Cricetulus griseus: one gene and its partners. The protein of the gene in region 4 interacts with the protein of the main gene of each other region in a biochemical or structural test. Links are inferred from orthologs where the notes say so. Each region holds a gene or a part of one and is shown on either strand. Other genes may lie near its edges.

Evidence for each region.
Region 1: the proteins of Erbb2 (region 4) and Sh2d2a form a complex in vitro, tested with the Homo sapiens proteins (2 studies listed by BioGRID and IntAct, with this or other methods). The link is inferred for Cricetulus griseus from reciprocal best matches to the Homo sapiens genes ERBB2 and SH2D2A.
Region 2: the proteins of Erbb2 (region 4) and Plcg2 form a complex in vitro, tested with the Homo sapiens proteins (2 studies listed by BioGRID and IntAct, with this or other methods). The link is inferred for Cricetulus griseus from reciprocal best matches to the Homo sapiens genes ERBB2 and PLCG2.
Region 3: the proteins of Erbb2 (region 4) and Nck2 form a complex in vitro, tested with the Homo sapiens proteins (2 studies listed by BioGRID and IntAct, with this or other methods). The link is inferred for Cricetulus griseus from reciprocal best matches to the Homo sapiens genes ERBB2 and NCK2.
Region 5: the proteins of Erbb2 (region 4) and Shc1 form a complex in vitro, tested with the Homo sapiens proteins (2 studies listed by BioGRID and IntAct, with this or other methods). The link is inferred for Cricetulus griseus from reciprocal best matches to the Homo sapiens genes ERBB2 and SHC1.
Region 6: the proteins of Erbb2 (region 4) and Sh2b3 form a complex in vitro, tested with the Homo sapiens proteins (2 studies listed by BioGRID and IntAct, with this or other methods). The link is inferred for Cricetulus griseus from reciprocal best matches to the Homo sapiens genes ERBB2 and SH2B3.
Region 7: the proteins of Erbb2 (region 4) and Sh2b2 form a complex in vitro, tested with the Homo sapiens proteins (2 studies listed by BioGRID and IntAct, with this or other methods). The link is inferred for Cricetulus griseus from reciprocal best matches to the Homo sapiens genes ERBB2 and SH2B2.

What each region holds. Positions count from the first base shown.
Region 1 is NW_023276806.1:66,619,470-66,624,152, forward strand, and holds the start of Sh2d2a (SH2 domain-containing protein 2A), read right to left. Parts: upstream 3,033-4,683; coding exon 2,999-3,032; intron 2,472-2,998; coding exon 2,292-2,471; intron 1,703-2,291; coding exon 1,546-1,702; intron 994-1,545; coding exon 904-993; intron 741-903; coding exon 572-740; intron 1-571. UniProt on the Homo sapiens protein: Could be a T-cell-specific adapter protein involved in the control of T-cell activation. May play a role in the CD4-p56-LCK-dependent signal transduction pathway. Could also play an important role in normal and pathological angiogenesis.
Region 2 is NC_048596.1:194,122,562-194,126,579, forward strand, and holds part of Plcg2 (1-phosphatidylinositol 4,5-bisphosphate phosphodiesterase gamma-2), read left to right. Parts: intron 1-429; 5' UTR 430-477; coding exon 478-670; intron 671-4,018. UniProt on the Homo sapiens protein: The production of the second messenger molecules diacylglycerol (DAG) and inositol 1,4,5-trisphosphate (IP3) is mediated by activated phosphatidylinositol-specific phospholipase C enzymes. It is a crucial enzyme in transmembrane signaling.
Region 3 is NW_023276807.1:4,981,880-4,985,897, forward strand, and holds part of Nck2 (cytoplasmic protein NCK2), read right to left. Parts: intron 1,291-4,018; 5' UTR 1,275-1,290; coding exon 1,049-1,274; intron 1-1,048. UniProt on the Homo sapiens protein: Adapter protein which associates with tyrosine-phosphorylated growth factor receptors or their cellular substrates. Maintains low levels of EIF2S1 phosphorylation by promoting its dephosphorylation by PP1.
Region 4 is NC_048600.1:111,550,211-111,554,228, forward strand, and holds part of Erbb2 (receptor tyrosine-protein kinase erbB-2), read left to right. Parts: intron 1-395; coding exon 396-469; intron 470-555; coding exon 556-646; intron 647-799; coding exon 800-999; intron 1,000-1,456; coding exon 1,457-1,589; intron 1,590-1,675; coding exon 1,676-1,766; intron 1,767-2,462; coding exon 2,463-2,623; intron 2,624-4,018. UniProt on the Homo sapiens protein: Protein tyrosine kinase that is part of several cell surface receptor complexes, but that apparently needs a coreceptor for ligand binding. Essential component of a neuregulin-receptor complex, although neuregulins do not interact with it alone.
Region 5 is NW_023276806.1:65,124,832-65,129,425, reverse strand, and holds the start of Shc1 (SHC-transforming protein 1), read left to right. Parts: upstream 1-1,422; 5' UTR 1,423-1,831; coding exon 1,832-2,326; intron 2,327-2,873; coding exon 2,874-2,944; intron 2,945-3,408; coding exon 3,409-3,472; intron 3,473-3,586; coding exon 3,587-3,706; intron 3,707-4,184; coding exon 4,185-4,238; intron 4,239-4,527; coding exon 4,528-4,579; intron 4,580-4,594. UniProt on the Homo sapiens protein: Signaling adapter that couples activated growth factor receptors to signaling pathways. Participates in a signaling cascade initiated by activated KIT and KITLG/SCF.
Region 6 is NC_048597.1:101,679,633-101,683,650, reverse strand, and holds part of Sh2b3 (SH2B adapter protein 3), read left to right. Parts: intron 1-2,735; 5' UTR 2,736-2,762; coding exon 2,763-3,419; intron 3,420-4,018. UniProt on the Homo sapiens protein: Links T-cell receptor activation signal to phospholipase C-gamma-1, GRB2 and phosphatidylinositol 3-kinase.
Region 7 is NC_048597.1:115,193,680-115,197,697, reverse strand, and holds part of Sh2b2 (SH2B adapter protein 2), read left to right. Parts: intron 1-1,169; coding exon 1,170-1,378; intron 1,379-3,317; coding exon 3,318-3,489; intron 3,490-3,924; coding exon 3,925-4,018. UniProt on the Homo sapiens protein: Adapter protein for several members of the tyrosine kinase receptor family. Involved in multiple signaling pathways. May be involved in coupling from immunoreceptor to Ras signaling. Acts as a negative regulator of cytokine signaling in collaboration with CBL.

The DNA of each region.
Region 1 (4,683 bases), on a different chromosome or scaffold from region 4:
TTTTGCTGTCAGTTTGTTCTCTGTATTGCTTATGGTGTCCGTCTTGTCCTAGAACGGATGCCTCATGAAGGCCAGGATATTTTTTGGTCATTGTTTATTTCCTCAATGTCTCAACACACAGTGGTCAGAAGCACCTGTACTTCTTGAAGGTGGGTGCTCCCTGACAATTCCTGCCAAGCTAAGTGGTGGACCTTGCATTCCCCGGCATCCACCACAGCCTCCGAACTTGATCTCATCATCGGACTGTCTGATGTCGCTGTTGTAGTAAGGTCTATGAGTGAGATGCCCACCTGTCATGGCCATAGGTCTGTTTACAGGACCTCTCCTCTTCACCCTTGCTCCAGAGACTCAGTAAACCTAGCTTAATTTAACTTGGTTGTCTCCCTTCCCTCCCTTTACCCTGCTGGTCTGGTCGAGAGCTGTTCTGGAAGAGGTGTGACTACGTAGGCAAGTGTGGCCAGCCATGGGTTGGGGTGAGAAAGGCAGATGCCAGTAGCCTGGATCTGGCTGGGATGCTGGAGGTGGCGACAACGGCACTGGTCAGAGTTTTGGGTTTTGAGTAAGGGCTCACCTGGCGGGCAAGGGGCTGGGTGAGCATCTCCCCATAGGGGCTGAGGGGACACTCTGTGTAGTGTTGAAGCAGGTCCTGAAGCTGCGCATGGGCACTGTCTTCGCCCAGCACCACGTGACGCCCATCCCCTAGCTGGGCAAGGAGGAAGTGACGGCAGCAGGTCCGGCTCCTGGAGGGGCCACTTTGGGTCAGACTTGCCATTTCTTCCCCCACCAAGCTGAAGGAAAAACCCTGAGCCCTCCTTGGAGAGATAGCAGGTCAGCACAGAGGGCTGCTCCTTGGTTAGCACAAAGCCCCCGCGTCCAGCTTGTCAATGAGGACCCGCCTCTTACCTGTAGGATAGCACGAAGGTCACAGCGCTCTCGCTGAAGCGCACCAGATAGCATCCTTGTGGCTGGGGCTGCAGCAGCCTCTCAGCTTCCCTGTACAGTTGGAGAGAAGGGTGGGGTCGGTTCTGACTCCTGCGACCTCATTTCTGTCTCCCAGGTTCTGGTAAGGGACCTCTCACTTCCATCCCAAGCAAGTATGCCACGACTATGTGGAGATGAGGGGTCAGGGGTCCAACTCAAAGGGCCCTGAGCTTCATCCTGCTGGAGGGGGAGCTGCAGGAGTAACAGACATGGCAGTTACAAGTGCTAAAGTTTAGAAGGTTAAAGCTGGACCGAGGAGATGATGGAAGACAAGTAGGGTTGAGAGATGGAGCATGGAGGATCTGCAAGGGTAGGAAGAGAGAAGGGAGGGCTGGACAGAGCTGACAGAGATGGAGGGGAGAGGGGCTGAAGATGAGGACTAGAGGCCTAGAGCCTGTAGAATAAAGTGAACCTAGGGAGAGAAACTGAGGCACAGAGTGGGTTGAGCCAGGCATCCCCTCCGTGAAAGGCCTGGGAAACTAGAGTCCTAGCTGTCACGATTTCCGGCCTGACTCAGGACCCACAGCCGCTGTGCCTTCTGGGGGTTTTCTCCCCGTGACTCACCGCCTGGTGATGAAGCCATGGAACCAAACAGGGGCAGTCTTGAGCAAGAGCCAGTGGGCCTGGGTCTTCTGGACCCACTCTCTGGTCTCGGCTTGCAATGACAGGCCACCTTTCCCAGGCACCTCTTCTTCCTTGTCAGCGTTCCCTAGGACCCAGGCTGAGGCAGAAGCCTGGGCATGGGAGAAGTCAGTGTGAAGCAGCCAAGATTAGAGGGCTTCTGACCGCAGCTGCCTCCTTTTTATCCTCGTACCAGCACCTCGACCTATCTTAGGGTCAGATTGCCCAGAAAGTCCTTCCCAAGGCCACTGACTTAAATTTCTTCTGGCCTTCTGATGACCTTCCATACTGGCCTCAGAGGGTAGGGGATGGGATAGGAAGTTGCCCGAGGCAGGAGAGGTTGGCTTCTTCTCTAGTAAAGGTGGCTGGTGAGCTGGTGGCTGAGAGGGCAAGAAACTGAGATTGGCTCTTTAATGCTTTGGGCAAATGGAGGTGCTGACGTGGGCCACAGACAGCAGCATCTGGAATCAGTGCCTGACTGTGTGCTGGTCCCCTGCTGACTGGTCCTGAGCTTTCTAGGACCAGAGGAACTGAGGGCAAGTGGGTTGCTATGCACGGGAAGGAGGCACGCCCCACTTCCTCCTTCCTCGGTACCCAGCCCTGTCCTCAGCCAGCCGTTCACTCCTTCTAGCCTTCTATATCCATCTCCATGCCCTCATACTAGGGAGGGTGGGAGCAGATGAGGCAACCGTTCCCTTCCATGCTTTTACTCACCATGGTGTGGGTGGCCCTGGGGCTAAGCTGAGCCTTCTCTTCCTTCGGAGCCTGCATGCTGGGCTTGCTCCCCCAACCCAATTCCTGGCATCGCCCCTGGGTCAAGTTCATGGGCTGGAAGGTGCTGAAGGTTGGGGAGGGGGCTTCATGATTTCCTGTTGGGACAAAGGGGGTTTCTGGGGTTTCTCAGGGAGGAGTTGCTTCTCCCTCTCTTTCCCTCCTGTCCCCCAGGCTCAGAGTGTCTCTCAAACATCCCTGAAGAGGCTTTTCCTAACAGGAACAGTCATGGCAACAGGCTAAGTGCAAGTGTCTACCGGGGAAGTGGGTGGGCACCTCAGGGGTAGGAATAAGGAGCCAAGGTCTTCCAGATGGTGACCCTGGGAACTAGGCTGGCCTTCTGATGGCCTGGAAGCCGTGTAAGAGGTAAATTCCTTCAGGCCAGGCCCCTCTCTTAGTCTAGGCTCTTCCACCTGCCATCTTTTTTTGCCCTCTTGTTCCAGTCTCCTAAAAATCTAACGACCCTGTCCCCTGCCCTCAGGGATGCATAGGTACAGAGCCCCAGAGATGGAGCAGGAGTTGACACTATGGCAGCTCTGGCTGGGGTCAGGAGCTGTGATCATGAAATAGGAGCTCAGGCCCAGGAAGGCAGTAGGGGTAGGGGACTCTTGAGCATCACACGTACCTTGGGGGCATGTCTGAGCCAAGCAGAACTCCATAGAGGCAGGTGTGTGTGCTCTCAAAAGAGGGACACACTCCGCGGCGGCCACGCATCTCTCCTCTCACTCCTTCCCCCAGCGACAGGAAATGTCGCTTTACCCACCTCCTTCATCGTGAAGAGGACCCACGTCATGGAAAGCCCAACAAGAAACAGAATTGGCCCTGGAAGGCAGGCAGCTGAGGTGCTGGTGGTTTACTCTATTAGTGCCAAGGAGTGCTTGCTAGCTGACCTTTGTCCCTCCCTGAAAACTCTGTAAGACTTCTCAGATATTCATAGTCAGAATTTTACTTTGAGGAGAGAAATGGGAGGGTAGGGTAGGGCAGCAACAGGAAGGATGTGGGTTAGACTTCTGGAAGAACTTTGTGTATGTGTGTACATGTCTGTGTTTGTGTGATGTATGTGTTATGCCACAGGTGCACTTGCTCGTGTGTGTACATGGAAACTAAAGGTTGAAGCAAGCATCTTCCTTAACCAGCCCTTCACCTTATAGTCTGAGACAGGGTCTTTCATTGAGCCTTGAGCTCACAATTTCAGCTGGACTGGCTGGTCAGTTAACCCCCTGGGATCCACTGTTTCCCTTTAAACCAGCACTGGGGTTACAGGCGTGTGCCCAGTTTTTATGTGCTTGCTGAGGCTCCCAACTCAGGCCTACAAGCTTGTACGGCAGGAACTTTGCCCATGGAGCCATTGCTCCAGCGGCTGGTGGGACTTATTTTCAGCCATATGGGATCCATGAGACACGGAATTTGAGTTTGAGGCAGATGGAGAGCCTGCCATCTGTCCTTGAGCAGATAATGGAGTTGGATTAGGGCAACACTAAGCAACCTTGGGGGATTCTCTAACTACACAGGTGTTGTTGAATCTGAGCTATCCCCGCAGGTTCATGCTTTGAACTTATGCTTCCAAGCAGTGCTGTCTTGGGAAACTGTAGGGACTTTAAGGGGTGGGGGAGAGGCAAGTCACATGTGGCAGGTGGGTATCCTCTTTGTCTTTTGGTGTTAACCCAGGGGAACAGATTCTATGACCCATTTAACATTACTTAGAAATGGAAAAGACTTGCACGTCTTTAATCCCAGCACTCAGGAGGCAGAGGCAGGTGAGTTTCTGAGTTTAAGGCCAGCCTGGTCTACAGTGTCAGTTTTAGGATAGCTAGGGCTTACACAGAGAAACCCTGACTTGAGAAACAAAAACAAAAACCCCAAACATAAACCAAAATAAATTAAATAAATAAATAAATAAATAACAGGCGCTGGTGGCGCACGCCTTTAATCCCAGCACTCGGGAGACAGAGGCAGGCGGATCTCTGTGAGTTCGAGGCCAGCCTGGTCTCCAGAGGGAGTGCCAGGATAGGCTCCAAATCTACACAGAGAAACCCTGTCTTGAAAAACCAAAATAAAATAAATAAATAAAACCCCCAAACAAACAAAACAATACAAAAAGAAAAAAAAAAAGGAAAATACCTTATAGAATTTACTAGAAAACTGTTTGATCTAATAGCACAGTTGCAGGATACAAAATCAATATCAAAACACTAACCTTTATATATATACCAACAATGTATTCTCAGAGAAAGAAAAAATATCCTATTTGTGATAGCTTCAAAAAGTTAAGTATGTAGGAACATACCTAACCAAAGAAGAGCAGGGCTT
Region 2 (4,018 bases), on a different chromosome or scaffold from region 4:
GGACATTTTCTGCCCTTCGGGCTCATTGTCATAGAGAGGAACCAGTTGCTGTAATTTTGTTGTAAATGGATAGTAAGGAATCATCTAGCAGGTGAGACACACTGCTGGAGGGTGGAGGTTACCAAACATGGCTACTGAACATGTCAGAACTTCTTTGCTTATGCAAATTTGGACAAGAAGAGAGGAGGGTCACCCATTCAGCTATGGTGATTTGATTATTCAAAGCTTGTGTAACGGTGGGGTCGTGGAGGCCAGCCAGCGCCTTCTCTCCACCCAGACTTCATTTAAACCTCTGCCTTTCGGCTCCACTCTCTAAGTGCCCAAAGGCTCTTGGCACTAGAACCCTCACCTATAACTCAGTCTGATGGGAGTGAGACAGGCTCTTGGCTCCTGATATTAATTTTTTTTTCTATATTCTTCCCCTTGCAGCTTCTGTGTTTCTCCTTCTTCTTCTCTCTCTCCCTGGAGTGGCTGACAATGACTACCATGGTCAATGTGGACACCCTTCCGGAATATGAGAAGAGTCAGATCAAGAGAGCCCTGGAGCTAGGGATGGTGATGACTGTGTTCAGTGCCCGGAAGGGCACCTCAGAGCGGAGGACGGTGCAGGTGATCATGGAGACTCGGCAGGTGGCATGGAGCAAGACTGCGGACAAGATCGAGGGCTTCTGTAAGTACTTGCTGGGCGGGCAGTGAGGTCCATCGGCCCTGCCCACCAGAGTAGTACCTGTTGGTCCTCCAGTCTGTCTTTGTCACCTTTGTCAGGATGAGTGTTGGTTTGGTCCATTCTTTTAAAGGCGAAAGCATTTCCACTTGGTGGGGGTAGGGGTGGGGGTGGGGTGGGGTTGAGAGGAGGTGGGGGAAGTTGATCCAGGGAAGTTCTTGTGAAATGACAGCAACCCCAATTGGTCAACTTGGCCGTGATCTTGAAACAGCAGCAGGGTTCATCTGGTTTCCATAGCTGTCAAGCTGTCTGGCTTCTGAAGGACTCCCTGGCTGGGGTCTGGGGAGGCTGGGAGCTTGGTAGCCAGAGGGCTAACGACTTTATTTTATTGCAAACCACAGCAGCAAGAGACTTTTACTTTGGTGTTTAAAGGCACAGAAAAAAAAATCATTGGATATTTTGCAGCTTCCAAATGAAATTCTGGTCCTGGTGGCTGTGCCTTCCCTCATCACCTTCGTTGCCTTACACTGGGCTGTTGGCTCAGCTCCCCGAATTTCTGAGGGGATTGCTTGTCGCAAATAGAGTCAGGACACTTAAGTAATTTTCAGTTGCAGAAGTGTACTTTAATTTTATTCCTTATTAATGAGTGAGAGTTTTATTTATTTATTTTGCTGTGCCTATAGCATTCATATGAGGGTCAGGGGATCACTGGTGGGAGTCGGTTCTCTCTTACATGTGGATTCTGGGGACAGGACTCAGCTTAGCAGGCTTGGTGGCAAACACCTTTAGCCCCTGAGCGATCTTGCCAGTCGAGTTTGTTTTAGAAGGATCCCATGTAGCTAGCCTGGGACATGGAATGTAGCTAAGGATGACTTTCAATTTATGATCTTCCTACCATAGTTCTCAGGGCCAGGATGGAACCCAGGGCTTTGTGCATATGGGGCAAACACTATCCAATGAGCCATGTCTCTAGTTAACAAGATTTTTTTAATAGTAATTTCTTTGTGTGTATGTATGTTTGGCATGCATGCGAAGACCAGAAAACAATTTATAGGAGTTGACCCTGCCCTTCTATCACATGGGTCCCAGGGATCACACTTCAGTCATCAGGCTTGGTGGCAAGTGCCTTTACCCACAGAGCTATCTTGGCAGCCCCCGGAGTAGCTTTTCATTGAAAAACTATAATGTACCTTTGAAATAGTAGTGCTCAGGAGGCTGAGGCAGGGGGGATTGATTGTAAGTTTGAGGGCTACATAGTGAGATCTTCTCTAAGAAATAAAGTACTCTCAGAAGTTGGGGAATTAACTTACAAGAGCCTTTCACCTCTGACCCTTCACCCCTACCCTACAGATAGCTCTGTCCTAGCTTGTTCTTTGTGGTTGGGATACACACCGTGAACAATAGCAAATGGGGTAGGAAAGATTTATTTCAGTTTACAGGTAGAGAGCTTGGTTTGCTCTGCTAAAGATGACACCTTTCACAGTGTGCTGGGTCCTCCTACATCCGATAGCAATTGAAAAAATACCCCACAGACAGGACAATCTGAGGGAGCCAATTACTTTTCCAAGGTGACTCTGATTGGAGGAAGGTTGATAACTGAAGCTAAGATGTCAAACTCATAAACTTCTGATTTTTTTTTTTTTTTTTGAGATAGGGTTTCTCTGTGGCTATGGAGACTGTCCTGAACTAGCTCTTATAGACCAGTCTGGTCTCGAACTCACAGAGATCTGCCTGCCTCTGCCTCCCGAGTGCTGGGATTAAAGGCGTGTGCCACCACACCTGGCCATAAACTGCTGATTTGTCTTCTGCTAATATTCTATGTTCACATAATGGAGGTTTGTTTGTTTGTTTATTTATTTAATGAAAATGGAACTACTTCCTTCTGCTCCTTGGTTTCTTTTTGCCTGGGGCTGGTGCCTTTTCAGCACACAGATCTGTCCCTGGCTTTCTTGGGCCTGGCTGCCAGTTTAACTGGAGTGGGACTTGTGCTGCTTCCAGACATTTGTCACTAGCTGCAGCAATGTTTCTTTCTTTCTTCCTCTTTCTTTCTTTCTTTCTTTCTCTCTCTTTCTTTCTTTTTTTTTGCAGTCTTCTTTTTAAAAAGTCATGATTTTATTGAAACAAAATCAACTTAACATACTTACAGTTCATGATTTAAAGAGACAATGCAAATTTAGGTGTGGTGGCTCAAAGCAGTAGAAGTCTTGGCCCTCTGGAGGAAGGAAGATTAAGGGTTCAAGAGAATGCTGGGCCAGGTATAGTGGCATGCACTGTTTTTTTTTGTTGTTTTGTTTTTTTTTTGAGACAGGGTTTTTCTGTGTCACCCAGGCTAGCCTCAACTGAGAGATCTACCTGCCTCTGCCTTCCAGGTACTGGGATTAAAGACACCACTGCCCAGTTTGTTGCATGTACCTTTAACCTCAGCACTCAGGAGTCAGAGTGCTGAGGAGTTAGTTTGAGGCCAGCCTGGTCTACATAGGGAGTTCCAGGACAGTCAGGGATATGTAGAGAGACCTTGGAAACAGACACACACACACACACACACACACACACACAGAGAGAGAGAGAGAGAGAGAGAGAGAGAGAGAGAGAGAGAGGGAGAGAGAGAAAGGGAGAGAGAGAATCCTCATCACCACATAAAAGCATGGTGACATACACCTGTAATCCCAGAGCTGGGGAGGCAGACAGGAGGGTCCTTGGTGCTTGCTAGTCATCCAGTCTAGTGCCAATCAGTGAGGTGCAGGTTCAGCAAGGAACCTTGTCTCAAAATATAAAGTGGAGAGTGGTCAAGGAAGACACCAGTCATTGACATCCTCCTGCATGTGACAAGGGTCACCATGGTGGTTAGTATATTTAAATTTATGTCATCACTGCCAAGGTCAATTCTGGAACATTTTCAATAAGTAGCCTTGTCCCCCTGACCCTCTTCCTCTGACTCCCTCCTACTGACTCTCCCCTAGCCCTGAATCTACTTTCTGTTTCTACAAATGCTGCTGTTGTGGCCATTTTGTGGGAATGGAATCCTGTTTGTTTATAGCCTTTTCACATGGATTCTTTCTGCTTCATGTTTTAAGATTTTTCCACTTTTTAGTGTGGAATGGAATTTTATTTTTTTAGACATCCAAGTAATATTCTACAGTAGAGTTATTCTACATAAGAAATTGTTAAATCTGTTCATTTTAGGTAGTTAAATAGTTTCTGTCTTCTAATTTGAAGAGTGTGGCTCTGAACATTTATGTTTTTTATTTTATTTTATTTGGCTGTCTTGGAACTTGCCCTGTAGACCAGGCTGGCCTCAAACTCACAGGGATCTGTCTGCCGCTGCCTCCCAAGTGCTGGGATTAAAGACGTTCA
Region 3 (4,018 bases), on a different chromosome or scaffold from region 4:
CAGAGGAAACAATGTCAGAAAACACACAGTTTCTGACATCACACATAGACAGTTCTCTATCTCCCCCAGTCTCTGCCATATGATACTTGTACCACACTGAAACTTTGCCAAGAAGGCAATACACATACAGTCATTTGACTTGAAGTAAGCCAAATTAAGCCTTTTTATTGATAAAGCAACCCACTGTCAAGCAGTTTGTTACAGTGATAGGAAATGCACTCATACACCAGAGGCAGAAAGGAGGCATGAATGGGAAGGACCAGAGACTATCATAACTGAACAGGGCTTGTAGAACTGTCCACTTGCGAGGCTTCTGATGTCACATTGCTCATCACCCCAACTACACATCAACTAACTGCCTGAAACTGTGGTATAAAATATCACCTAAGACAAGAACAAACAAAAACAAAAACAGACCAAAATATACCTGTCTTCTCCTTCTGTGTGCACAAAGCCAATGCATGGGAGTTTGTAAGAGAACAGGGTTGGTGCACTGACAGGCAAAGTTATGAAACTTGTTGTGAGTCTAAGTCAGGGTCTTTGAGAGTTTGGATGCAAGGAAACAGCTGTTTAGGGGTCCATAGAACACAGAAGTGTTGATTTACCCAGGATCCTAAACTCTAGAAGTTACCCAGAAAATGATAAGTAGAGTCTTTAACTTGATCTTTGTACAAAACCCAAGTAGGAGGCTGTCAACATTAACACCGACCCCAACACAGACATACACACCATACCACACCACATATATACACACACTACACTCATACACATACACTATACCCACACCAAATCATATCACACCCCACATGCACCACACTTACACACACTATACCATACCCTACACAGCAAACCACATATACACACACAGTGCACATGCCATGTTCACACACAGCACACTCACACACACATTGCATCTCTCTCTCTCTCTCTCTCTCTCTCTCTCTCTCTCTCTCTCTCTCTCTCTCTCACACACACACACACACACACACACACACACACACACACACAGCGATGACCTAGCTGTGCCAGGTGGGCTGTGGACACTCACCTAGCGTGTCCTTGAGATTCTTCACCAGGGAGCCTTTCTTCAGGCTGTTCTTGCGCTCCACATAGTTGGACGGCACGTAGCCCGTCCTGTTGGCTGCGTTCCTCACCCGCCACCAGGTCTTGGAGTCATCCAGCAGCCACAGTCTCTCGTTCTTCCTGATGTCGAGCTCCTGGTCCTGCTGGGCCGTGTAGTCCCACTTGGCTATGACAATGACTTCTTCTGTCATCTTTCATGGAGTCCTTCTGCCAGCAAAACATTTAAAGATGCTCATTAGCTACCTGAACGCCTTGTCCTCTGACAGACTTGAAAAATTAGACAATGACAGCTCCTGTGACTACACTGCCACTAGTCTCCTCTAGGCCCTTGAAACACTCATCCTTAAAATGACCTTCCAGCAAGCTCTGGTACTGCTGAGAATCAACATCTTGTAACCAAAGCCTACAGCCTCTCTCCCTGCACTAGATGAGCTACACATTTTACCGAAGCCAGATGCAAACTTAAAATACAAATCTTACAATGAAAGTGCTCATTTGACTAAACAGCACCAGCCCCTACAGCTGATAGGTTCACACTCCTGTCCTCAGCATATGCTCAAGGATCTGAAGCTATTTAGCAAATATAACTACTTCTGTACACTCAAATTCAAATTACTGTACTACTAATGCAACATGGTATCCTGCGACGGATGGTAAAATAGAGACAGAAAATTGGTGGAAACACTGTTGAAATGTAAACAAAGCCTGGGCAACAGCATAGTCCCCGTGTGAATTAGTTTTGACAACTCATGTAATATGTTAGCATTGGAGAAATTAGCTAAGGGGTATACAGGAATGTTCTGCACAAATAGCTCTACAACTCTCCTGTAAAAAAAAATGAAATTATTTTTGAAAACTGGTATCCACACAAAGCCTATATTTAGATATTTAGGCTACTTTATTCATAATTGCCCAAACTGGGAAACAACCATGACGTCCTACAGTAGGTGAGCAGATAAACCAACTGCCTACCCGAAAATGGAATATTTAAGCACTGGGGAAAGAGTGAGAGGAAATGCAGATGCCTTCTAGAAGTGAAAACAGGCTTTGAGGCCTGCTAGGCTGGGCATGCAGCTTTCGTGTTGGGGTTCCTCTGGGCAAACTTTATTGAAGAGCCTGGGAACCCTGTTCTCTGTGACTTTTGTGTCCATCCTTGCATCGCCCAGTATTAGCAAGATCCTCTACCCCATACCTGATCAGGTTCCTCTCACACCACCATGCTGCAGGTGATGTCTGGTCACCTGGCCTCTTTTAGCAAAAATCCTGTTAGGCCAGATGGGACCCCCCCACACACACACACTGCATTTCCTCCTCCCCTCTAGCTAGATGACCTCACACTTATCTTTATATGGGGAGCTGAATTCTGTCTTCCCAACTGAAAAACTCCCCTACAGTACCCGCTAAACAGTCTGCCTTGATATCTCCTAACTAGTTTTCGAATAGCAATTCCACTATATAACATTCTGGGTAAGGCAAAAAGAAAGAAAGAAAAAAATCCATGAAGACATGGGACTACTGGACACTTGGGGGTAGGAAAAGCAAGCAATGCAGAGAGACCGGTGAAGGCATGTAATTGAGAGTGTGTGTCAAGACACATCTGTGGTACAGATAGAAATACACATTAAAACTATGCCAAAAATACAGCTTATTAACATAACAGATACAACACAAATCTGAAGTCAATCTGGGAAGTAATAAATAGGTAAGAATACAACACATACAGGCCTTATCTACTTCAGCAATTCCACTCTTCTCAGGCAGAAGATGCATAAGGGTTTTGGTTTTTTGTTTTGTTTTGTTTTTGTTTTGCAGCAGAAAAGTCAGTATCCAATCCCTCTACTGATTTGAGATGCCCACAAATTACAGAAGGAACAATGACAAGATACTGGGCCCAAACCCCTTGGTCCTCCTGACAGAGTTCTGATCTCATACCATGAGTTCAGAGTTATAGAGGAACCCATGCATGTGATTCGTGGAGGCATGGATATGACACTTACTGCCATGTATAATACATGTCTTCTCACGTATTTCCACACGAGGAGATAAAAAATCATTCAGGAAGAAGAAAATGTATGTAAGCCGTGCACGCAATGTCCATAATGTCCAAGAGGGTGGAGTTTATACAAAGTTCAAAGTTCCTCTGAGAGCTGGAGACCTGCAATGGGGTCCCTAGTCCATACCGTGTGGCTCACACACACTGATTTCTCTGTAAGACGACACCTGTGAAAATCACCGAGGTGGACATCTCTTTTAACGTCAAGGGCAGGGACAACAGCAGAAAGAGAAATGGGGCTCGGAAGGCGATTCCCCTTCAACACCAGATTTGCCGCTCACTCATAGGATTCCCAAAATGACTTAAAATGGGAGCAGATCATCACTTCAATCAGTTGGTACCCAGCCAACCAAAGCTCTCTACTGAATGGCCTTCTACATCCACAGCAGCGACGGGAAGAGCAGGCGTTTGTTTCGGTGCAGGCTGAAGGCACAAAGCTTTATAAAAACACCTCTTCCTGCTAAGCCACAGCACAGGATACTGGAGAGGCTGGAAACACACAGTGTTTTGTAAGGAATATGGCGGGCACCAGGCACAACTAACCAAGAGAAAAGCCGCATGTGCTGCAGATGGCAAAACCGGACGCTCGGGGGCTCAGATGCTGGACATGGAGGTGCAAAATTTGGTGTTTATCTGGCTGGGCTCCAATCCTGTTTTTGTGGGATCTTTCCTTGCTATGCCTCAATTCTTATGCCCTACTCTGTGCCATCACATATTAAAAGTATTCGACTTATTCTTTTATTTTATGGGAGTTCACGGTGAAGATTTGTCTCCGGTTTTAGAAAAGGCTTTGGATTTCTGACCACCACTGAAACAGGACCATGATGACTTTCAAAGCCAGAATGAAGGCATTTTGCATTAAGAGATGGCCATGAGCCTATG
Region 4 (4,018 bases):
GAACAGGGCTTGACAGATACTGAGCACTCTCGGTGTTTGTATTTCAGAGCCTGCAGAGAGCAGGGTTTTACGTAGCAGCAATCTTATTCACTAATGACTACCTGGGTAATTTTCAAATTTCTCTCATACAAACAGTTCAGCTTGTTTATGCCTCTGGCAGCTGAAGCCAGTGTCTCTGCCGGCCAGACTTCTGCAAATGAGACTTCTAGATCAAAGGACACAAATGTTGCTCTGCTGGACTTGGACCCTAGGCTTTGACTCTTGGGATGGGAGCAGCCAGGCTTGATTGGGCTTTAAGTAAAGGACTTGGTGTGGATGGAGAGTGGTGTGTCAAGGCCTTCTGGGCCTCCTGCTCTCCATCTTCCTGCCCTACTCATTCCTCCTGATCCTTCTAGGAACCCTGCCTCCGGCGTTGCTCCCCTGAAGCCTGAGCAGCTCCAAGTGTTTGAAACCCTGGAGGAGATCACAGGTGGGCCCTGTCTTTCTGTGTCCTGCTCCATGGGGGCCAGGAGTTCTGGACCTTTCTGCATACCCGGCCCCCTCCTCTGCCCGCAGGTTATCTATACATTTCAGCATGGCCAGACAGCCTCCATGACCTTAGCGTCTTCCAGAACCTTCGAGTCATTCGGGGACGAATTCTCCATGAGTAAGTGTGTGGAGAGGGAGCCTAGGAGGCATGACACCACAGTAGCTTTTAACATGAGTTGACAGAGTGTTTTGAGGCAGGGGGAGGTACCTGTTGGCTGGAAATGGACCTAGAGTAGGTACCTCCTTGCAACTGGAAACTTTATTTCCATAGTGGCGCCTACTCATTGACGCTGCAAGGCCTGGGAATCCACTGGTTGGGGCTGCGTTCACTGCGGGAGCTGGGCAGCGGACTGGTACTCATTCACCGCAACACCCGTCTCTGCTTTGTACATACTGTACCTTGGGACCAGCTCTTCCGGAACCCGCACCAGGCTTTGCTCCACAGTGGGAACCAGCCAGAGGAGGAATGTGGTAAGACAGGAAGGCCAGCCCTGTGGGCCAGTACACAGAAGTGTCAATAGCCTCTGGCCTGTGCAAACCTTTTTAGCCCTGCTTTGTTGTTGTTTTGCGATAGGATCTCACTATGCAGCCCTGGCTGTCCTGGAGCTCACTCTGGATACCAGGCTGGCCTCAAACTCACAGGGCTCTGCCTGCTTCTGCCTCCCGAGTGCTGGGATTAAAGGCATGCCCACTGGAGCCATTCTTCACTTCCCAGTGATGGTTTGGCATTGTGACATGGCTTCCAGCTGTGTCCTTCCATGCTGCCCAAACATCCATCCCTTCCTTGTTGTTGAACCACAGAATTCTTCCTCACCCTGAATGTCCTGGCATCAACCCCTTTAGCCAGAGCCATGCTCATTCACAGCCTTTTTGCTTAGACCTGAGTGAGCCTCTCCTAATACCTCTCCTGCTTTTCTCCTCATTGCAGATCGCAAGGACTTGGCCTGCTACCCATTGTGTGCCCATGGGCACTGCTGGGGGCCAGGACCCACCCAGTGTGTCAACTGCAGTCACTTCCTTCGGGGCCAGGAGTGTGTGAAGGAGTGCCGAGTATCGAAGGGGTATGAGTAGCAGAGGAGTGGGGTGGCTTGAGGGGTACACACATGGGGACCTCCCAGACCCCTTACTATACCTGCCTCTCTTACAGGCTCCCTAGGGAGTATGTGGATGGCAAGCATTGTCTGCCATGCCACCCCGAGTGTCAGCCTCAAAACAACACAGAGACCTGCATTGGATCGGTGAGGTGCTGGTGGCCTCGAGGGGGGGGGAGATGGGACACGGACAGACAGACAGACAGACAGACAGACAGACACACACACACACACACACACACACACACACACACACGGGGACAGGACGACACCGGCAAGCAAAAGGGTACCGGGGGTCTGTTAAGTTGCTGCAGGGTAAAATGTTCCTAGAGAAGGCTCAGCTCAGACCTGGACAGCAGGAGGGGAGAAGGTCAGGAAGGCTGGAATGGGGGCACTGCTCTGCCCTCATTGTACTGTGGACCATGGGCTCTCCCTTCACGCTGGTGACACTGGAGCCCTTCAGACAGTCCCAAGAAGGCCTGTGTCCTTGGTTCTAGCTGTGCTAGGGACCACATCCAGGCCCTGTTTCCACCCTCAGTTTTCACTTCTATAAGGAGAATGTTGTAATAGTTCCTACCTGGTTGGGGTGTGGTGAGAATGAAATTAAATAGGATTTGGCACGGTGCCCAAGCACGGAAAAAACTTTGTACATAATAGTTGTCACTTGTCACACCTTAGAGAACGCACGTCCCTCTCTGGGTGCCTCCATTTCCTTGTAAAGAGCAGGGATGTTTACCCCAGTGACAGGGAGGCAGTGTTGCTGCAAGGTCAGGGACACAGGGCCTGGTCCTTCTGCTGTAGGGATGGTGATCCCAACCCCACAAACCCTTCCTCTCTATCCAGGAGGCTGACCAGTGTACCGCTTGCGCCCACTACAAGGACTCCTCCTCCTGTGTGGCTCGCTGCCCCAGTGGTGTGAAGCCAGACCTCTCCTACATGCCCATCTGGAAGTACCCGGATGCGGAGGGCATATGCCAGCCGTGTCCCATCAACTGCACCCACTCGTGAGTGGAAGGGTTTTTTTCTGTAGAAAGGAAGGCTTTCATGATAGTAGCCTCCCTGGAGCTCTTACTGTGAAAGGGGGATAAATCCACCTTCATTCATATTGAGATATAATTTTTTGTTTGTTTTTTTGTTTTGTTTTTCCAAGACTGGGTTTCTTTGTGTTAACAGTTCTCGCTGTCCTGGAACTTGCTTTGTAGGCCAGGCTGGCCTTGAACTCACAGAGATCTACCTGCCTCTGCCTCCTGAGTGCTGGGATTAAAGATGCATCACCACTGCTGGGCTGAGTGGTAATTTTTATATTTCTTTTCTAATTATAAAAATAACACAGGCGCTAGAGAGGTGGTTCAGTGGTTTAGAGAACTTGCTGTGCTTCCAGAGGGTTGGAACTTGGTTCCTAGCACACATATCAGGAGACTCAGGTTGCCTGTTAACTAGCGTCAGGAGATCTGGTCCTATTTTCCAGTCTCCGAGGGTACCCATTGCCCCTCTCCACCATACACACACTTCCCCACACACAAACCCACACACACACACATACCATACACACCACACAGGCTCATACATGTAAATAAAATTAAAAAATAACACATTGGGCTGGAGAGAGGCTCAATGGTTAAGAGCACTGGCTGCTCTTCCAGAGGTCCTGAGTTCAATTCCCAGCAACCACATGGTGGCTCACAACCATCCGTTATGAGATTTGGTGCCCTCTTCTGGAATATACATGGAAGCAGAATGTTGTATACGTAATAAATAAATAAATAAATAAATAAATAAATAAATAAAATCTTTTAAAAAAACACATTAGGGGCTGGAGAGGTGGTTCAGGGGTTAAGAGTGCTTGCTGCTTTTTCAGAGGACTGGAATTTGGTCCATCAGGAGACTCATGCTTTCTGTGAACTCTAGCCTCAGGAGCTCTAAGGCTTTTTTTCTGGCCTCTGCAGGTACACACATATACTCAGACACATACAGACATAAAAAATGAAAAACAACACATTAGAGGATGGCTCAGTGGGCAGAGAGGCACTTGCTCAAAAATCTGATGGTTTCAGTTAAATCACCAGGGAAAACAGTTCAAATTATCCACAGTAGAATTTCCAGCAGCGCCGGGCATTGGTGGCGCACACTTAATCCCAGCACTCAGGAGGCAGAGGCAGGAGGATCTCTGTGAGTTCGAGGCTGGCCTGGTCTACAGAGCGAGTGCCAGGATAGGCTCCAAACAATACAGAGAACCCTGTATCAAAAAAACCAAAAAAAAAAAAAAAAAAAAAAAAAAAAAAGAAAGAAAAAGAAAAAAAAAGAAAAAGAAAAGAATTGCTAGCAGCATTCTTTTATACCTCACATGGCAATTTAACATTTTAATGTGTTATTATAAAAATTATTCTAATTACATTTAT
Region 5 (4,594 bases), on a different chromosome or scaffold from region 4:
TTCCTCCCTGCTGGGCTGAGGTACAAAACACGGCTCTCCCCCAGCTGCCACTACCTAGCTTTGGTCCGGTAGATAATCTCCCATCTCTTTAAGCAGATTTAAAGGCTCATGCTTCCTTTTCTTCCAAATGTGCATACTCTTGGTCATTCCTTGCCTCTGGATATGAACGCTCCTAGAGAAAGCCATCTCTCAAGATGAAGAATCATTGTGTGTGTTTGGAAGTGTATGGCTGTGGCAGAATTTTTCCTCCTCTAAGAGCTGAGGTCTTACTTAGTAGACGGGATGACAGAGTTTCTTTTCAGGAAGAAGTTCGATATTCAGTAACAGCTCTCCTGGGATGGGGACTAAGGGCAGGTGAAAAATCGGAAGAATGATATTTAACCCGTTTTAAGTTCCGGTATTGTTAATCACAATCATACAGTTTTTAATTCTCCAAACTAAACCTAAAGGTAGTTTGGAGGTGAGCCTGTAAAGAAACTACCTTTTACTTCTTGTATTTGCCTCTCCCCCCCCCCCTTTTTCTTTTTTTAAAGGAAATAAGTGATAGTTTATTCTGGAGTAATGCTGATTGGTCACTTTCTTTAACTTCCTGATGGCCTTTAGCAGAGCTGTGGCAGGAAGCTGTGGGCAAAGGAATATGGGCTTGGTGTTATTATGCACTTATGGCCAGATCCCAACCTCTGGTATCCCTTTCTTCTTCCTGTCTTTATTAACACTGATTTGTTTATGGCCCTATTATCCCTTTGTGGCTTGTAGGCACCAGTTCTGTTTGTTTCATTTTCAGACCTCCAAGGCCAACTCCTCTACTAGTGTGAGGGACACTGTTGGGTGGACCTTACAGCCTGTAAGGAGAGAAATATGTCTGTAGGTCTAAAGGTAGCCTGATTGTCTCTACATCCTCTGGAAAGGGGTCCAGGAAGTCCATTGGTCCTTGGTAGGTAACAAGCCTAAGGGACAGGCTTGCTCTAGCTCTTGCCTAGTAGCTCCCAGACCACCGCCCAAATTGGCCTTATTCCTCCTGTTTCAGCTTTGCTTCCCTCTTGGCCTCGATCTACACCCACTGGGACAACTTTCTCTTCCTGGTTCCTTGCTCTTGTCCACAGCTGTTGTGGCTGAGGATGCTAATGGCCCAGGTTCCCTGGGGCTGCCACCTCACTTACTGTATGGTGGGGGGTGGGGATGGTCTAGGCTGTAAGAGAAATACTAAACTCTAGATCACCCCCCCCCCTTTCCTCCCTCAGCAGCTTCTGTTTCCTCCTTTATCCCTCCTAACCTTCCGGGCTTCCTGCTCTCTTTGGCTAGCCCATGTCAGTTTGGATTAATCCAGAGTTCCTCTTAACTCCTTCCTTTCCTTCTTTCCTCTTTTTCTTATTCTTCCATCTTTCTCTCCTACCTGGCACCTTCATCCTCCCCAGACAGACCCTAGTTGTTTGTATTGGGTAAGGGAGAGTGGCCTGGCTAGCACACATTGTGTGAGGAGGTGTCTCTGCCCCTCTGAGCCTGTGAGTCAGCATTGTCCTTGGGATTGGTCTCTCCCCTTGGTTCCCCGCCCCTGGGGAGGAGCCAGTCAGCTCTGGGTCCAGCCTGTACTCCTCAGCCATAAGAGGCTTCCTCGCAGGGCTGGGCAAGGATGTGGCCTGAAACTGTCTTGGTCTGACGTGGGAGAGCAGAGGCCACTTGTCCTTCGCTTCCCTAGGTCCTCTGTTATCACCAGGCTGCAGAGGTCAGACCAGGCTAAGGGCCTGGGGATGCCCCCTGCCTGGCCCCCTTGCCTGAATTTGGCAGGGGGGCCAGGCCGGGCCAGGCAGCAGCCCCCCTTCTCACCCCAGCCATGGATCTTCTACCCCCCAAGCCGAAGTACAACCCACTTCGAAATGAGTCTCTGTCATCGCTGGAGGAGGGGGCTTCAGGGTCTACCCCCACAGAAGAGCTGCCTTCCCCGTCAGCCTCATCCCTGGGACCCATTCTGCCTCCTCTGCCGGGGGATGATAGTCCGACTACTCTGTGTTCCTTCTTTCCCCGGATGAGCAACCTGAAGCTGGCCAATCCTGCTGGGGGGCGCCTGGGGCCTAAGGGAGAGCCAGGAAAGGCTGCTGAAGATGGGGAAGGGAATGCAGGGGCAGCCCTTCGGGACTCAGGCCTCTTGCCCCTCCTCCAGGACATGAACAAGCTGAGTGGAGGCGGCGGGCGCAGGACTCGGGTAGAAGGGGGCCAGCTGGGGGGCGAGGAGTGGACCAGACACGGGAGCTTTGTCAATAAGCCCACACGAGGCTGGCTGCATCCCAACGACAAAGTCATGGGACCTGGGGTTTCCTACTTGGTTCGGGTGAGTGTACATCCTCCTTTCTGCCCCCTCCCATTCCCCATCCAGTTCCTCTGCTCACTCCAGATTTGCTGGGACTTCCTGCTCTTCCCCCAACATCTGTGGCATTCCCCTAGTTCTTAACCCTGCCTGCCACATCCCTTCTCCAGTTCTATGCCTTCTGTTCTAGCCTGGGAGTCTTCTGCCTAGGTCCCCTTTCCTTTGATCCCTACCCCCAGCTTACACAATGGTCAAGCACATCAGAGGCTTTTAGTAAGTGTTGAATGAAAAATGACTTCTGGGTTCTTCCCTCTAGACTCCTCCCTTTTCCATAGCTGTCACTCCATCCCACCCAGTGCCTACAACTCCTCTCACAATCTCTCCACAGTGCATGAAGGTCCTCTTTGGTGGCCCTTCTTCACTATGGGGTGGTGGCCCCAGGAAGTAGGAAGGCTACTTTACCTTTACTTCCCTTAGGGACTACATAGGGCACAGTCCTAGAACCTTCTGCAAAGGGTGGGGTATTGCGGGGAGGGGGCAGCTGATCCATCCTTGCCTCCTTCCCCCACAGTACATGGGTTGTGTGGAGGTCCTGCAGTCAATGCGAGCCCTTGACTTCAATACCCGGACTCAGGTCACCAGGTTAGTGGAGAGGCAGGTGTATTGTTGGAGTCTTGTATGGAGGAGGAGGAAAGGTGGGCATTTGGTGGTGGTGCTGATGGTGACTTCTCATGGGGTGGCTAAGAGACCTGAAAGTTACACCAGTGTGTCTGACTGCAAAGAGCCAGCTCTGGTCTGGAGCACCACCTTACCCACGCAGCCTGGGAGACTGTGGGACGATGGATTACAAAAGGCTGCTTTTGGGAAGGGAATGGCAAATTTGGTAACTGGGAAGAGGTGGGGCTATAACCATTGAGGCCCTAACCCAATCAGCCAGGAAGCAGCCCCTCAGTGTCATCAAATATTAAAGGCCCTTAATTCAATCCACCACGACAAAGAGCCTGGAGTGCTCTGAGAATCTGGCCTGCTCTTCCCCTCCCCCAGCTTTGTGGCAGCCCCAGGCAGTGGGAGGCCAGGAGTAGGTCTGAGTACCCCTGTTTCTCTAGGGAGGCCATCAGTTTGGTGTGTGAAGCCGTGCCTGGTGCCAAAGGAGCCACAAGGAGGAGAAAGGTATGTGTGGTTGTGGTGGGCAGGGGGAAGGCAACCGCAGGCACAAGGGGAGGAGACAGAAGTGTCTCCTGGTGTTGCCAGTGCTCAGGTTCTGAGACTTGGGGCCTTTCCTAGCCCTGTAGCCGCCCACTCAGCTCTATCCTGGGGAGGAGTAACCTGAAGTTTGCTGGAATGCCAATCACTCTCACTGTGTCTACCAGCAGCCTTAACCTCATGGCAGCCGACTGCAAACAGGTGGGTGGGGCTGCTGAAAGGGACGGGGGTAGTTATGGGATGATGGGGTGGGGGGATCTGGAGGCCAAAAACCTGGAGTCCTCAGGAGCAACTGGAGAGTAGAGAAGGAAGAAATTAGAGGGCTTGGGTATAGTGACAAATTTAATCCCAGTACTCCAGAGGCAGAGGCAGGTGTTTGAGTTCCAACTATACAGTGAGACCCTGCATCCCTGTTACACCCCCCCACTCCCCCCACCCCCGCCAAATAGAACAAAATTAGAAGAGTGTAGGATTAGAAGCCGAGAGAAAGACTGGGCGCCAAGGTCATAGCTGGGGTGAGGACACGCGGGATCTTGACCACTCCCTTCCTTCTCCATCCCCTGCCCACATGAGAGAATGAGAGTGGGTGCCAAGGTCATAGCTGGGGTGAGGGTACACGGGACCCTGAGGCTGCTGACCTTGATTGTTCCCTTCCTTCTCCATCCCCTGCCCGCATCAGATCATTGCCAACCATCACATGCAGTCCATCTCGTTCGCGTCTGGTGGGGATCCGGTGAGTTGGGGAACAGAAAGGATGGAGGTGGGGAATGAGAGACTAGGGGTTAAGAAGATACTGACTAACAACAACAACAAAAAGGTGGTATTGGCTAGAGGATGGGCGTGGTGGCATATGCCTTTAATTCCAGCACCTCTAACTTCCAGGACGGCCAGAGAAATCCTTTTTCAAAAAACTGTGGGGGAGAGAGAGGATTGTGGGAATAACTGAAAAGGACAGTCTTAGGGGTCAAATAAGATGGAGTTGTAGAATTTAGCTAACCGGTCTCTTCTGAATCTATCCATAGGACACAGCTGAGTATGTTGCCTATGTTGCCAAAGACCCCGTAAATCAGAGAGGTGAGGCTTTTGAGT
Region 6 (4,018 bases), on a different chromosome or scaffold from region 4:
TGGAGCTGACACTCGCTCTGGAGACCAGGCTAGCCTTGAACTCACAGAGATCTGCCTGCCTCTGCCTCCCGAGTACTGGGATTAGAGGCTTGCACCACCAACACCGGGTTAAGACTTGAGTTTTTGTGTGTTTCATCAAGCCCCCGCTGTGGCAGAAAGTGGAGGAAAGCAGGTGTGCTCTGGTCCCAGAGCCATAGTCTGGTGGAGATGGCCACTGACAAATCTTCGTTGCTGAGGACAGATTTGGGACTTGGTACTCCTCAAGTGATATTATGAAAACAGACAGGTCTAGGGAATTGGATGCAAGAATGCAGCCCAGTGCCCTTGCAGTGTGCAGATGAGGCCAGAGCTATGATGTGTACACTCAGCTTGTGGGTCATCCAGGCCATAGAGACTGTGACTGCCTCTCCTGTGTCAAGGCCTCGTGGGTGGGGATATAGCATTGACAAAGGCTGGGAATCCCCCAGGGAATAGGTGCTTCCCATGGAGAGGTGGGCAGAATGAGATGGGCTTGGTTAGAAGTGGCCTATTCCTTTCTGCCTCCTGGTTTTTACTGTTTACTATGTGCACACAGCACCTACTGTGTGCTAAAGACCTTATGGTATGATATACAAAGTACTGACTGAGTTCGGTGTCCCCCAGTGAGTACACAGGCTTCTGCACTGGAGTTGAAGTAACCTGTCAGGTGCTGGAAATGGCTGGCCACCCTTACTTGTTTATTCTGAGTGTGGCAGTACACAGGACACAGGAGAAAGTGCCTGTGTAGTAGGTACAGTAGAAAGAACACCGCATCTGGGCCCAGATGTTTCCCTCTAGTCCTGGCAAACATTTTTTTTTTGATGATTTACTAATTTTTGTTTTATGTACATTGGTGTTTTACCTGCATTTATGTATGTATTTGAGTGTCACATCACTTTGAACTTGATCACAGACAGATGTGACTGCCATGTAGGTTCTGGGAATTGAACTCAGGTCCTCTGGAAGAGCAGCCAGTACTCTTAACCAATGAGATATCTCTCCAGCCCCTGACAAATGTTTAATGGGCTGGAAATTGAGGTTCAGAGAGATGTAGTCTGATGTCAGTGGCCACACAGTCAGTGCCTGGTCCTCTTTGCAGTGAGCTCTGGGGAAACAGGTTGGTTTGCTTGTTTTGAGACAGGTCTCATGAAATGCAGGGTGGCCTTGAGTTAATTCACTATGCAGCCAATGTTGATCTTGAACTTTTTTTTTTTTTTTTTTTTTTTTTTTTGGTTTTTTGAGACCGGGTTTCTTTGTCTAACAGTCCTGGCTGCCCTGGAACTTGCTCTGTAGACCAGGCTGGCCTCAAAGTCACAAGATCCTCCTGCCTCTGTCTCCTGAGTGCTGAGATTAAAGGTGTATGCCACCACTGCCCGGCTTGACCTTTTGATCTTCCCTGGTCTTGATTACAGGCACATGCCACCACACAGCTAAGGTTTAACTATATTGCCTGTTCACTGTTGTATCCCTGGGGCTGACTACAATGCCTGGAACAGTAGGCCCTCAGCATATTGTATGTGGAATGATGGAGGGGTGGATGGTGGGTCTTGTGCACAGGTCCCTGCAGCTGTGACAGGCAAGCTGGGTGACCCTGTTCACTCAGGCTGTGCTTCAGGGATGTCCCTGTGCCTGGCTCCTCTATTACTTATCTTATTCAAGGACAGTGCAGTGGTGACCAATGGCATCTTTCATGGTTGTCTTATACCTGCGTCTGCCTGAGTTCCCTGCCAGGCCTAGAGATGCCTATGTCCCTGTGAATCTGGTTAGTACAGGCTGCATTTTGTCTTTAGTGTGGCTGTCACCATGCTTGCTGCAACATTTAAATGAGGACAGCAGCCAGTCACATTGAACTTTTCCAAATTCTAGGCCTGTAATTGCCATGGGAGCTGAGGTGGAGCATCACTTGAGGTAACTAGTGAGAGGTGGGGCTGGAGTCCATGTTCCCAGCCATGCTTTCTAGAGATGGGTAGTTACTTCCCCTGCACTCCCATAGTTTACTGTTTCAGGATGGACCTGCTAGTGAGGCCTATCTTGACCACCATTAGATGTGTAAAAACTAGCTGGAGAGAGACATGTGAGCCTTGGTTTATGTACTGCATAATAGGATCATACAGGGTGGACTGTTGGGTTTGATTTCGGGGTGACCTTGGGGCTTCCTGGAGGAGGTGACAGATTGCCTCTTGCCCTTGCCTCCCAAGCCTGCCTGCTTAGTGAGGGTTGTCACCAATAGCAGGGAGCTGTGGTCAGGGCTCTGGGCCCATGAGCAAGTAAGTGCCTACTATGAAAACCTTTAGCTGTGGGGAAGGGGTCTAAAATTACTCTTTTCAAACTGACCTCTTAAAGAAGTTGTACTGCTTCCCAGAACCTACCATAGGTAATGAAGTGCCCAGCCCTGGGTGTCACTGGTCAGTTTTTACTTTAGGTGTGCTGTGAGTAGCCTGTTTCCTGGTAGGCAGTTCCTCTCATCCAAAATTCACTCCCCATGAATTTCAACCCAGGCTTGAAAATACTAGATGGAAAATCTGGGAAAACCCCACGCATGGCTCTGGTGCTGAGCTCTTGGAGCCCCTCTGGAGCTCCTCCCTGGCCTGCTTCCTGTATCCACCTTGTATGCACTGCCCGCCTTCTTGTCTGCTGGTTTCCACGTGCGGGGTTCCCGGGGTGGCCGTGGGGGGCGGGTACGTTCCCTGGCTCACTGCTCTCTGTCTGTCTTGCAGCTCGGCCGCCCCGCCTCGCTCTCCGCCATGAATGGGTCCACCGTGCAGCCCTCCCGCACGTCCTCGGCACCCGCGTCGCCCGCCTCTCCGCGCGGCTGGAGCGACTTCTGTGAGCAGCACGCAGCAGCAGCAGCGCGGGAGCTGGCCCGCCAGTACTGGCTGTTTGCGCGCGCGCACCCACAGCCACCACGCGCCGACCTGGTGTCGCTGCAGTTTGCCGAGCTTTTCCAGCGACACTTTTGCCGCGAGGTGCGCGAGGGCCTCGCGGGACCGCCGGGCCGCGACTACCGTGCCACTGCCCCACACCACCGCCCCGCACTGTCCAAGGCACGAAGCTCCGAGGACCTGGGCCCAAGGCCCACCTGCGCCCTGCAGCATCTGCGCCGCGGCCTGCGCCAGCTCTTCCGCCGCCGCTCGGCCGGGGAGCTGCCGGGGGCCGCCAGCGACACCAATGACACCGACACCGACACCTCTGCCACCACCAGGCCTGGACCGGCCCGCAAGCTGCTATCCTGGAGCTTGCGGGAGCCGCCAGCCGAAGCGCTCAAGGAAACTGCGCTGCGCTATAGCCTGGCGGACGAGGCAGCCATGGACAGCGGCGCACGCTGGCAGCGGGGTCGCCTGGTGCTGCGGGCCCCGGGCCCAGGCCATGGCCGCCTACTGCAGCTCTTTGACCCGCCCAAGGTAAGAGCCCCGCAGAGTATGCAGCAGCGGGTCCATAGCTCGGTAGGCCTCCGTGGCCCACACTTAGCCAGGACGGTGAGTCTGCGACTCACTGTCGATGGGTTGGAACTGGTTAGTTCATAGGTTTTGATCTTCCCTGGTCTTGATTACAGGCACATGCCACCACACCAGCTAAAGTTTAACTATCTTGCCTGTTCACTGTTGTATCCCTGGGGCTGACTGCAATGCCTGGAACACAGTAGGCCCTCAGGATATTGTGTGTGTGGAATGATTGAGGGGTGGATGGAGGTGGACATCCAACTGAGAGTGACATATGAGCTTTTAGGAAGTCCCGAAGGGCTGAGTGGCACCCCTGCTGTGTCCATCTGCAGTCTCTTTTCTGAGAAGTTTGTTCCTCCTAGCTGGTGGCTTGGGCTTCATTCTTATTCTACCGGCGGTGAGGCCCAGGGTCTTTGTGCCCTACTGTAGCCACATCCATCCCTCCTGCGTGGTTGTGTGAGGCCTGGCTGCCTGCCTTGATTTCCTTTCTGTTCCTGTGGTCCCATTCAGTGTGACAGCCTGGCTGTTGGGTGACAGTGATGTGATCCCAACCCAGGGCA
Region 7 (4,018 bases), on a different chromosome or scaffold from region 4:
TCTGTGTTGTTTTGGAGCCTGTCCTGGGACTTGCTCTGTAGACCAGGCTGGTTTCAAACTCACAGAGATCCACCTGCCTCTGCTTCCCGAGTGCTGGGATTAAAGGTGTGTGTCACCAATGCGGGACTCAAAAGGCAGCTTTGGTGGCACAAGCCTGTAACCCAGCACTTAGGTTGTCGAGGCTGGAGCGGTGTCTAGAGAGGTGTGAGAGATGTCTAGAGAGGTGGTGAGTAGTGATTGCTGTTCTTCCAGAGAGTCCATGTAGTGGACTATTAAGTTAACTATGTAAAGGTGTGTTATATTTGTTTATGGTGAATTTGTTTAATCATGTAAATATGTGTTGCTGTTTCACCTTGCCTGCCTAAGGCACCTGATTGGTCTCATAAAAAGCCAAATGGCCAATAGCTAGGCAGGACAGGGATAGGCAGAGAGCAAGTAGAAGAGAGCAAGGAAGAAAGAGGGAGACACCTGGGGCCAACCAGGCAGGCAACTGCCAGACAGACACAGAGTAAGACATAGAGAATGAAAGAAAGATAAAAACACTGAGACAAAGTGTAGACGAAGAGAAATAGGTTAATATAAATTAAAAGAGCTAGCCAGGCCGTAGTGGTGCTCACAGAGAAACCGTATCTAGAGAAACTAAAAACCAAACCAAACCAAACCAAACAAAAAAGAGCTAGCAAGAAACAAGCCTAAACTAAGGCCAAGCATTCATAACTAATAATAAGTCTCCATATCATGATTTGGCAGCTAGTTGGTGGCCCAAGAGAAAGGTGCTACATACCTGAGTTTGGTTCCCAGCACCCATGTAGGACAGCTCACACCTGCCTGTAAATCCAGCTCCAGGGGATCTGATGCCCACTTCTGACCTCTCCCGGCACCCAAATGCATACACAAACACCTACATACACACATAAACAAAAGGACATAACAGAGCCAGGTGGAGAAGAGGCTTGGCTTCTTCCCAGGTTTGTTGCTGACTTGCGAGTGCTCCCTTCCCTCCCTATGCCTCAGTTTACCTCAAGGCTGACTAGACATGGTCAGTCATTTCTCTGCCTAGGTCTGATATTCAAATGGCAGTTTACCCACACAAACAAGATACAGCTCCCCTTCTCTTGTTGACTTAATTTGTCTTCCTTTTGTCCTCCGTGCTATTACAACGAACCCAGGGGATGAAGCAGCTGAGCTAGACACTGATGCTGAGGCTGAGCTGGAACTCTCCGACTACCCCTGGTTCCATGGGACATTGTCCCGAGTGAAGGCTGCTCAGCTGGTGCTGGCTGGTGGGCCCCGGAGCCATGGCCTCTTTGTGATCCGCCAAAGTGAGACTCGACCTGGGGAGTGTGTGCTGACCTTCAACTTCCAGGGCAAGGCCAAGGCAAGTGTGTGTGGCCTGGGGGTGACAGGGGGAGTAGCCTGTTCTGGGGGAGTTGGACTGAGGTAGCCCAGGTCCTAAGGCTCATCACCAGCTCATGACCAAGTCCACTCAAAAAGCAATTCTTGCCGGGCAGTGGTGGCACACACCTTTAGTACCAGCACTCAGGAGGCAGAGGCAGGCAGATCTCTGTGATTCTACAAGAGCTAGCTCCAGGACAGCCCCCAAAGCCACAGAGAAACCCTGTCTCGAAAAACCAAAAAACAAAAAACAAAAACAAACAAACAAACAAAAAAACAGCAAGTCTCTCTGAGAAGTTAGCTTAACAGTCAGATTTACATGCCTGTAGTCCCAGCACTTCAGAAGCTGGGGCAGGAGGATTGTCAGGAGTGAGAAACCAGCTTGGGCTACATAACAAGTCCCTGTCTCAAAAATCTGCCATGAGCAGCCTGTACCTACACTTGCTATCTATCTTACTTTGCTCTGAGGCACCATTGTCTACTAATCCTGATGCTTATAACCTGTATAAAACATCTGTAATGAAGTCTACAACAACAACAACAACAACAAATCTCCACATCAGGACTTGGTGGTGTACATCTGGAAACCCAGCACCCAGGTAGCAGAGGCAGGGGGATCTGGAGTTTAAGGTCATCCTTGGCTACATAGTGAATTCAAGGACAGCCTGTGCTCGTGAGACCCTGTCTCAATAAATAAATGAATAAAGAATTAAGTAAAGGGCCAGCAAGAAGGCTCACCAGTAAAGGCACTTGCAGCCAAGTTTCACTGCCTGAGTTTAATCCCCAGAGCCCACGATGGAAGGAGAGAACTGACTTTTGTAGGTTGTCCTCTGACTTCCAAAATGCAGTGTGACATTTGCACATATGTACACATAAAGATGATGATAGATAGATACATACATACATACATGCATGCATGCAAACATAGATGATAGATGAGTTTTTTAAAAATCAATAAAAATGAAAAAGAGGACAAAGGTCAAGCGGTTTGGGGCATGACAGTGTGGCAGGTGTGGGCAGGGTCACTGTGCCCCTCACACTCACCCCATGTTTCCAATAAGGAAATAGACCCAGCCTTATATCCTTCCAGGGTATCATTTCCCAGCAGCCCCATAGCACCTCAAGTTTCCTGCCCGTGGCCTGCAGCTGAAGGTCATAGCCACCCTCACTTCTGACTGGACCTCCAGCAGCCCTCAGGCCTACTCTTAGCAGTGCTGGCCAGCTGGGTATGTGTGGAGGAGGCTAAGTCTCCCTACCTTGTCAATTCCTCTGACAACCAGGCACTTAATGTCACTCCTGGTGGCTGGTAATTGACATCTTGGCCAGCACTACTAACCATAGAGGGCTTGATCTCAAGCAAACATCCCGAGCTGAGACAGGATGGTGCCCTGTCTACCAGGGCCCATGGAGAGGTAAGCAGGACAGGCATGAGATGACCTTTAACCTGGGCTCTCTTCTAGCCTGGCTGCTATTGTCTCAAAGTGAGCAAAGGAGGCCTGACACCAGAGACCTGTGGTCCAATACTAAAGACTATTGGTCTATGGCTCTTCACACTGAGCCTCCTGCCTCAGGTAAACCCAGGAGATCTAAAGAGGATCATTGCTTAGAGTCACGTGCCATCATTGCACACCGCTGGGTCACCTGAGATCCTCTCTCCAAGCCAAAACAAATATTCAAAAAGACAGATTGATTCCAGTGTGAGGACAGATGTCTGCAGCCCTCAGCCCCAGCCTAGTTCTGTTATGACCATCTCCCGTACCTACCACAGGAGTGACCTACCCCAGATAGGACTCAGGATGAGGACCCCCAACACAACACAGTACCCTAAGGCCTCAGTGTGACTGATGTGTACTCCTCTAACCATTTGGGAAGCAGGTAGCCAGCCCGGGACCCCACTACTGACCATACATCTGTGCCCACAGCACCTTCGCCTGTCTCTGAATGGTCATGGCCAGTGCCATGTCCAGCATCTGTGGTTCCAGTCTGTGTTTGACATGCTTCGACACTTCCACACCCACCCCATACCCCTGGAGTCAGGGGGATCTGCTGGCATCACCCTAAGAAGCTATGTGCGTGCCCAAGGCCGGCCTCCTGGTAAGATGCCACCATCTGGAGCTTGATATGTGGCTCATATATAGAAGGTTTGCCTCGTATGCTCAAGGCCTGGGTTTGATCCCCAGCACTTCATAAACTGGCTGTAATCTCAGTCCTCTGGAGGAGAAAGCAAGAGGATCAGGAGTTCAAAACCATTCTCTGCAACATGGTGATTTAAAGGTCACTGGATATGTTAGACCCAGACTCAAAACCCTTCACCTGGACACACAGACACCTGGGGTGGGTTCTGGAAGCCCTGTAAGGTTAGAGTTCAGCACCAGATTTTGAGGGTACACTGGTGGGGTGCCTAGCTTAGGCTGGAAAGGCATGTCTGCTTGCATACTGTGTCCTGGGTCCCCCTCATCTGGCTGGCTTTGGAGGATGAAGTTCAGGTGCCTAGGGCTAAATGCTGACCAACATGACCTCTCATTACAGACCCAGGACCAGCGCCCAGCACGGTGGCACCAGCCCCCTCCTGCTGGACAGAGCCGGCTGGCCAGCACTACTTCTCCAGCCTGGCCACAGCCAC